Linked DNA regions of Arabidopsis thaliana. The protein of the gene in region 1 interacts with the protein of each later gene in a pairwise test. Each region holds a gene or a part of one and is shown in the gene's direction. Other genes may lie near its edges.

What was found. Proteins that work in one complex are often made in the same cells at the same time.
Region 2: the proteins of AT3G53370 (region 1) and EIL1 interact in a two-hybrid assay, tested with the Arabidopsis thaliana proteins (one large-scale study listed by BioGRID).

What each region holds. Positions count from the first base shown.
Region 1 is NC_003074.8:19,786,822-19,790,969, reverse strand, and holds AT3G53370 (S1FA-like DNA-binding protein), read left to right. Parts: upstream 1-2,062; 5' UTR 2,063-2,232; coding exon 2,233-2,259; intron 2,260-2,607; coding exon 2,608-2,811; 3' UTR 2,812-3,118; downstream 3,119-4,148. Other genes in the region: AT3G53380 (Concanavalin A-like lectin protein kinase family protein), read left to right, coding at 1-1,766.
Region 2 is NC_003071.7:11,543,757-11,549,155, forward strand, and holds EIL1 (ETHYLENE-INSENSITIVE3-like 1), read left to right. Parts: upstream 1-1,899; 5' UTR 1,900-2,236; intron 2,237-2,511; 5' UTR 2,512-2,557; coding exon 2,558-4,312; 3' UTR 4,313-4,537; downstream 4,538-5,399. UniProt on the Arabidopsis thaliana protein: Probable transcription factor acting as a positive regulator in the ethylene response pathway. Could bind the primary ethylene response element present in the ETHYLENE-RESPONSE-FACTOR1 promoter.

The sequences.
Region 1 (4,148 bases):
CCGGTTCAAAATTTGTCGCCGTCGAATTCGATACTTTAATGGATGTAGATTTCAAGGACATTAACAGTAACCATGTTGGATTCGACGTAAATGGCGTAGTTTCCTCTGTTTCCGGTGATCTTGGCACCGTAAACATCGATCTCAAGAGCGGCAACACCATCAATTCATGGATCGAATACGACGGATTGACTCGGGTCTTCAACGTATCAGTCTCTTACTCAAATCTGAAACCGAAAGTTCCAATTTTGTCTTTCCCTCTCGATTTAGATCGATACGTGAACGATTTCATGTTCGTTGGATTCTCCGGGTCAACTCAGGGAAGTACAGAGATTCACAGTATCGAATGGTGGAGCTTCAGTTCATCATTCGGGTCGAGTCTCGGATCCGGATCCGGGTCACCTCCTCCTCGGGCTAATTTGATGAATCCGAAAGCTAATTCGGTGAAATCTCCGCCGCCGTTGGCGTCACAACCGTCGTCTTCAGCGATTCCGATCTCAAGCAACACTCAATTAAAAACTTCGTCGTCGTCGTCTTGCCACAGCCGTTTCTGCAAAGAGAATCCCGGAACAATCGCCGGAGTAGTAACCGCCGGAGCTTTCTTCTTAGCACTATTCGCCGGAGCTTTATTCTGGGTTTACTCCAAAAAGTTCAAACGTGTCGAGAGATCTGATTCATTCGCATCTGAAATCATCAAAGCTCCGAAAGAGTTCAGCTATAAAGAACTCAAAGCCGGCACAAAGAACTTCAACGAGAGTCGTATCATCGGACATGGAGCCTTCGGAGTCGTATACAGAGGAATATTACCGGAGACCGGAGACATCGTCGCCGTCAAACGATGCAGCCATAGCTCACAAGACAAAAAGAACGAGTTTTTATCTGAACTATCAATAATCGGAAGCTTAAGACACAGAAACCTCGTGAGATTACAAGGATGGTGTCACGAGAAAGGTGAGATTTTGTTAGTCTACGATCTAATGCCTAATGGTTCGCTTGATAAAGCTTTGTTTGAGTCACGATTCACGTTACCGTGGGATCATCGGAAAAAGATCTTGCTTGGTGTTGCATCTGCTTTAGCTTATTTACATAGAGAGTGTGAGAATCAGGTGATTCATAGAGATGTTAAGAGTAGTAATATAATGTTAGATGAGAGTTTTAATGCCAAGCTTGGAGATTTCGGATTGGCGAGACAGATTGAGCATGATAAGTCGCCGGAAGCAACTGTTGCCGCCGGGACGATGGGATATTTAGCGCCGGAGTATCTTCTGACGGGTCGTGCTTCGGAGAAGACGGATGTGTTTAGTTACGGAGCGGTGGTTTTGGAAGTGGTTAGTGGAAGAAGACCGATTGAGAAGGACTTAAATGTGCAAAGACATAATGTTGGGGTGAATCCGAATTTAGTAGAATGGGTGTGGGGTTTGTATAAAGAAGGGAAAGTTTCTGCAGCTGCTGATTCTAGGCTTGAAGGTAAGTTTGATGAAGGTGAGATGTGGCGGGTCTTGGTTGTGGGCTTGGCTTGTTCGCATCCGGATCCAGCATTTAGGCCCACTATGAGGTCAGTGGTGCAAATGCTGATTGGTGAGGCTGATGTACCGGTTGTGCCTAAGTCTAGACCCACCATGAGTTTTAGCACTTCGCATTTGTTGCTGAGTTTGCAAGATACTCTCTCTGATTGTAATACCGTGGCTTTGAACTCTAGTCGATCGTCTTCGTGGTCGGTGCCCGAACATAACGTTATCATTCGAAGCGACGATGACCATTTGGTATAGATATATTGGAGTTGAACCAAACAGATGTGTTTTGTGTGTTTGATTATTTGATTTTTGTAATATTCAATTCATTTTTGTTATTTCAATGTATGTAAGATAAGAACACAAAATTGGTTTCTTAGAAAGCCATTAAAACATCGGGACAAACCAATCCATACCCAAGCTGAACTAAAACCAGATCAAACAACCTTAGTTTTGGTAGATATAATACGGGCCTAACCTAGCAAAACAAAAGATACGGATTGAAATCGAAATACCTAAAAAGTAAGGGGTCCAAAATAATATTTATGGATTAGTGAAAGTGGCGATGTAGTGGATAAAACACGTGTGTATATTATCTCTGTGTGAGTTTGTTTGCGTCTTATTAATCTCTGTGTCGAAAACAGATCCTCGTTTCCTTTCCTCCTCTCTTCCTACCATTAGTACGTTACTGGAGCTGATCTCACGTATATTTTGGATCGTAATCATGGACGGCGAAGATTTTGCCGGAAAGGTACCGTCAATCTTCTCTATACTTTCACCTTTTGTAGAATTTAACGGTATCTCCGTTGAAATCGAGATGATTTTACCATAATAGCTCCTCTTCTGCGATCCCGGAATGTGCAATCGATTTCTTAAGGGTTGGATTCGTGATTTGTGGGCTATTTTGTTAATGATCTAAGGAAATTATGTGATGTCTTAGCTTTTTAGAGGAATAGAAAAAAATAATCATTTGCATGCATTGCTGGACAACATTGCACGCTTTGCAATAATCTCATTCAGTATACATGTTTGCTTGGTCCTAGATTGTTGTTTTCTATGTTTGGTATCATTTATGCATACATTGGTCTGAATTTCATAGGCGGCTGCTGAAGCCAAGGGATTGAACCCGGGATTAATCGTGCTGCTTGTTGTTGGAGGTCCGCTTCTTGTGTTCCTAATCGCCAACTACGTGCTTTACGTTTATGCTCAGAAGAACCTACCTCCAAGGAAGAAGAAGCCCGTTTCCAAAAAGAAGCTCAAGCGGGAGAAGCTAAAGCAAGGAGTCCCTGTCCCTGGAGAATAAAAGCCAGCTTAAGCTTCCTTCACTTGTGCCTCCTTCAAAGCGGTTTTTGTTCGGTTACCAAATTTCACCCTTGCGGGTTTTTTCTTCCTTTACTTCTGTCATGAGGATTATCTTGAGTCCTGTATGATTTCACATGGAGAGTGTAGACTATTGTTTTGGTCTGACTTGTTTTTCCTTCATACACACATTTGGTTGCTACTGTAGAGTCTCTCACATCATCTTTGCTACAAATTCTCATCTTCAATATCATTTAACTTATTTACTATTTAGATGTTACTTGGTTCCATTGTTACGGCGCTACCAATCCTGCTTTTGCTAAACCGAATAGCTATAGAGACAAGATGTGTATATTCACAGAATCAAGACGCAAAGAGAGTCAATATTTGATTTTTACAAACAGATCCATCAACTAAACTATCATTGACGTCCCATGATTGTTTCGTATCAAGTTGTTTTATTAGCTCAATAATCACAGATGTATAAGAGACTAAAACTTTCATCGTTTTGATTCGTTTTGCGATACGATTTCCGGATTCTTAGTCCAGTGTTTGATCCATTTCTAGACATATAAGAAGAAAGAAGTTGCGTCGTCACTTCTACGAGACTCAAGGAGTCTGGAGCTTTTACATGTTCATACCTGGAAAATCAACAAGGAATCCAACATCTCAAAACAGCCAATCTCAAGGAAATTGAATCAACTCATCCCTACAATACTGTTTAGCAACCTAAAACATCACAATTTCAGCGGTTTGATAAGATTACAGTTTAGGGGAAGCGATTCAAGACATACCCAGCAGATAGTTTTGCTTCATGGCCTTCTTCAAATCATCTTAACTCAAATTTGTTGTACTCATCAGATAAGTTGAGATGTATCCTCTTTTCGTAGTTTGTATAGCACTGCATTTGTTGCCCATCCCGCTTGTCTGTAGCAACCCAATGTGGTAACCAGTTCATCCTACAGTTCCAATTTGAAAATAGCAAGAGAGAAAAAAACATTGAGATTCTTGAAATTTGTCATCATTTCTGCAGCAATAAGTAAACCGTCCTTCAGTATTACTCAATAGGTAACCAAAAATATTAAACAGAACAAGATTTTGTTACAATCAAGTGAAATAATACCTCATCAAATGCCTTATTTAATAGACACGCTGGCAACTATGTACGCTGCGTCAATCTCATGACAACAGACTGCAGAAAAGGAAAAGGCAAGATATCTATTGACAGCATTTATCTAAGCAAGCAAACAAGATGAAACACGATATCAAGATCAAGAAGGAAGAAGATGCAACTTACAGAGTAGCCACAATGGCATTTTTCTGTGCTTCTCTCAGATGGAA
Region 2 (5,399 bases), on another chromosome or scaffold:
ATCTACTATATATAGTTTAATTGCTTTCATTTATCCCTTCTTTTATTCTATGCATGTTAGGGTATTAGTGAGACCGTAGATTCTCATACCGTCTTATGGCAAATGATTTCATCATAATTTAATGTGTTATACTGTTATGGCATTTTCCCGTGGATTTGATTCAATCTTTAGTTACTCCAATGACATACCACGCATATGCGTAATGTGTATTTATGGTTAAAATTACATCACATGAGAGTATCGGACAATTTACAAAAATGTATACGAGGTAGTGTATAAGACGGTGTATGGGATAATTCATATGGTTCAGTACAAAATAATATACTAGGCTGTGTGCGTGAAGGGATGTATGAGATGGTATAAACAGAGGTGTATAAGATGATGTACAAGGCCGTGTACAAGATAATGTGAGATTATGTAAAAGATAGTATACAAGATGGTGTGTTTAACTCTGTACAAGTGGTGTTTAATACTGTGTAAGGGATGGTATATGAGACAATGTATAAATCAATGTACAAGATGAGACGAGCTGTGAAATTTATGTATTTACTCTAAGATCCATGAGAGTTTCTTCTTCATGTCTCAGGTGAGGAGGTTGGCGAAAGGAAGGTTAGGAAAAGTGAAGATAAATTTGATTTTGTTACAAAAGTCAAAAACATTTGCCTATATAACTTAAATATGGAGCCCATTATCATTATTCGTAGTTAGTAGAGCTTGTTCACGTTTATGTTACGATCTTGTATTGATAGAAGAATGTTTTCACTTGTCTTCGACTGAATCAGTGTTGCCTTCTCTCAGGTTATATCTTTCGTCTATGCTTTCGTCAAAGCAAAAAATCCCTAAATTAGATGAATTTTATGCCTTGACTCAAGGCATAAATTCATCAAATGTGGTATATAGAGCGTATTTAGCTTCATATATACTATTGAGTTTCCAGAGTCGTACGAGCGCTATCAAGTATCAGAAGCGAATAAAAATAAAATATCCTTACGAAAAAAAAAATCGTCTACAAAAAATAAACATCATTGTCATGTAAGAAAAAGAAAATTGACAAACTAAATATTAGTTCTTAAACAGTTGTTGACCCTTCCTCTCCACTAAATCGTTAACCAAGCTTTCAAAATCAATGTCTCTAACCAATTCTCTTTCGATTGATAATATAGCCAACTCACTCAATCTTTCTTGTGACATAGTCGACCGAAGATACGATTTGATCAACTTCAGCTTTGAAAAACTTCTTTAAGCAGATGCAACCGAAACTGGAATCGTCAACATTGTTCCTATAAAGCAATGGTACCTTCAATATGAGACAAAAATTATATATTAAATCTGCTTTGAAAGCAAAGTGAAATTTTTGTCTCCAATTATAAAGTAACATAACTATTCTAATGAGCTTTTGCTATTTGGATCTAATGTTATCATATTATTACCTCTACAACGTTCATCCTTTTCTAGCGCTTGTTGTTGTTCATCTTTTGCATGCGGATCATATATGCGTGTAATCTGGTCGTTGTCAAATTTTTATTAATTAGCATTTCAAGCCATTGCCATTGTCAACGAATATTCAGTATTTATTAGAAAAATCAACAGAAATTTAATATCTATTTAGTTTTGTTGAAATTTAAAGATATAAATCAATATTTACTATAAATTTAATTTTAGTAATATTTTTCCGATTTAGATTTTGTTATTCCCGTTTTTTTATATTGATCAGTTTTAGCGTTTTTTAGCGGTGAACAGTAGACTCAACTCGGATTGGACTAGACGGGCGATCCCGGTAGAACAGGTCCGAACGCCCGGTCTGGTTCCCAAACACTGCAATTACCGCATCTTGTGTTGTGGACCGGACCGACTATGACTGAATATTGCATTCATTTTGATCCTAAAAATGTCAATCAATGCTCATTTATTTATTATATATTTTGGAAAAAAGTGAGAAAAAACTGAAACGGTGCGACGTTATTAAATCTTTTAAATCCCCCCACCAAAGCATCTGCTTCTTCCTCTTGTCTCTCTCTCTCTCTCTCTCTCTTTCATCTTCAAACTCTACAAACCCAGAAACCACCACACAGTAATTAATGTCTCTTTCTTTCTTCCCATGTGATCTTTAACAGACTTTTCTTCTTATTCTCCATCTCTGAAGTTGTGGGGATTCATCAAGACTTCCTTATCTGTTTCTTTTATAAAACAAGAGAGAGATACCACTTTTGGTGTTCTTTATTTGCAACTCTTTCAGGCAAACACTCTTTGTCTCTTTTCTTATCTTATTATTGTTTCTATTTTTTGTTGATAATACTTTCGATTTTTTTTGGCTCTCTGTTCTTTCTAGATCGTTTGGTTTTATTGTCTATAATATTCATTTTGACAATCTATGTATTGATATGAGAACATTACTTCTTAGTCTCTTTAGTTTTTTTTTTTGTTTTTGACCCTTAAGCTTGATTTGTTGTTTTTAGCTTCTGGTGATTTGTTTGATCAAAGAAAGCTTATAAGTTTTTTTTTCTTTTTCAGGTTAAAGAAATCGATAGGCTCTGTTCTTGATTGTGGTGGAAGAGACATGATGATGTTTAACGAGATGGGAATGTATGGAAACATGGATTTCTTCTCTTCCTCCACATCTCTCGATGTGTGTCCATTACCACAAGCTGAACAAGAACCTGTAGTTGAAGATGTCGACTACACCGATGATGAGATGGATGTGGATGAGCTTGAGAAGAGGATGTGGAGAGACAAAATGCGTTTGAAACGTCTCAAGGAGCAACAGAGTAAGTGTAAAGAAGGCGTCGATGGTTCGAAACAGAGGCAGTCGCAAGAGCAAGCTAGGAGGAAGAAAATGTCTAGAGCCCAAGATGGGATCTTGAAGTATATGTTGAAGATGATGGAAGTTTGTAAAGCTCAAGGCTTTGTTTATGGTATTATTCCTGAGAAGGGTAAGCCTGTGACTGGTGCTTCGGATAATTTGAGGGAATGGTGGAAAGATAAGGTTAGGTTTGATCGTAATGGTCCAGCTGCTATTGCTAAGTATCAGTCAGAGAATAATATTTCTGGAGGGAGTAATGATTGTAACAGCTTGGTTGGTCCAACACCGCATACGCTTCAGGAGCTTCAGGACACGACTCTTGGTTCGCTTTTATCGGCTTTGATGCAACATTGTGATCCACCGCAGAGACGGTTTCCTTTGGAGAAAGGAGTTTCTCCACCTTGGTGGCCTAATGGGAATGAAGAGTGGTGGCCTCAGCTTGGTTTACCAAATGAGCAAGGTCCTCCTCCTTATAAGAAGCCTCATGATTTGAAGAAAGCTTGGAAAGTCGGTGTTTTAACTGCGGTGATCAAGCATATGTCGCCGGATATTGCGAAGATCCGTAAGCTTGTGAGGCAATCAAAATGCTTGCAGGATAAGATGACGGCGAAAGAGAGTGCTACTTGGCTTGCCATTATTAACCAAGAAGAGGTTGTGGCTCGGGAGCTTTATCCCGAGTCATGCCCTCCTCTTTCTTCTTCTTCATCATTAGGAAGCGGGTCGCTTCTCATTAATGATTGTAGCGAGTATGACGTTGAAGGTTTCGAGAAGGAACAACATGGTTTCGATGTGGAAGAGCGGAAACCAGAGATAGTGATGATGCATCCTCTAGCAAGCTTTGGGGTTGCTAAAATGCAACATTTTCCCATAAAGGAGGAGGTCGCCACCACGGTAAACTTAGAGTTCACGAGAAAGAGGAAGCAGAACAATGATATGAATGTTATGGTAATGGACAGATCAGCAGGTTACACTTGTGAGAATGGTCAGTGTCCTCACAGCAAAATGAATCTTGGATTTCAAGACAGGAGTTCAAGGGACAACCACCAGATGGTTTGTCCATATAGAGACAATCGTTTAGCGTATGGAGCATCCAAGTTTCATATGGGTGGAATGAAACTAGTAGTTCCTCAGCAACCAGTCCAACCGATCGACCTATCGGGCGTTGGAGTTCCGGAAAACGGGCAGAAGATGATCACCGAGCTTATGGCCATGTACGACAGAAATGTCCAAAGCAACCAAACGCCTCCTACTTTGATGGAAAACCAAAGCATGGTCATTGATGCAAAAGCAGCTCAGAATCAGCAGCTGAATTTCAACAGTGGCAATCAAATGTTTATGCAACAAGGGACGAACAACGGGGTTAACAATCGGTTCCAGATGGTGTTTGATTCGACACCATTCGATATGGCAGCATTCGATTACAGAGATGATTGGCAAACCGGAGCAATGGAAGGAATGGGGAAGCAGCAGCAGCAGCAGCAGCAGCAGCAAGATGTATCAATATGGTTCTGAATATTACACAATCTCTGTAACATTCATTCTTTCATAATAACTCTGTTACCTACTTACCTGACTTGGGTATGTATTCTATTGGCACCAAACACTCATCTATATTGTTGATGATGATGAAGCCATCTATTTTTTTTGTGTCTGAAAGTCATTTAACTCGCTTCATTGTTTTAATAATGTCACTATCCATTGAACATCATTCTCATGCTACAAGTTTGATTCTTTGAGTTCTATTTTTTAATCTTTGGGTTTAACCGTATAAGTTCAAGTAGCCAGCATAACAATCATGAAACAATATGGAACTCTTCTCTTTTTTCTCTTTTTCTTTTAAGTGTTAAGTCTGTCATTTTTGTTGGTTGTTCTCTAGTCAACTCAATTCAATAATCAATATCATAAGAAAAACACATGGCTTAGCCATATTTATAGGGTTATAAAAAGCATTTATCTTATAATATAAGTTATCTTCTTTGCTTTCATGTAGAAAGTATATTCTCTTATAATTTGTTTGGTCAAACACAATTGAATAATATAGTAACAGGTTGCCAACAATTGCATCAGTGTCGGCTACTGTGGCTTCTTCTTCACCACTGGCAAATTCTAATGTAACTTTTTTTATCCACATTGTAATCCAAAACGGATATTTATATAATAATAAGGTGAAAAAAGCCAAAAATGGTGAGAGTGTTTTTGGGAGGAAGAGAAGACAAACGTTGTTGTCTCCTTTATTTTGGAATTGGAGGACAGGCCATGTGATATGCGTTGTGAAACCCCACCACTCTTTTAGTCTCTTCATCGCCAAAACTGACTACATTCATGCACCCATTTTTTGGTTCTTTATTATTCTTATATTCTGAACATAATATATAGTAATGCAAAGATATAATTGCCAGTTTTAACTTAGTAATTTTTTGGTATGATTTTTTATTTTAATATAAAAAAGTAACGTAGTAATTTATGTAAGTGTCGTGACTATGCATCATTCACATTTAATTCTTATAGTATATGACTATTTTATTTTGTCATTTTATTATTCTTAAACAAAAAATGTTTTGATATGTTCTAAATTTCCAATTCACCAAGATAAGTTATG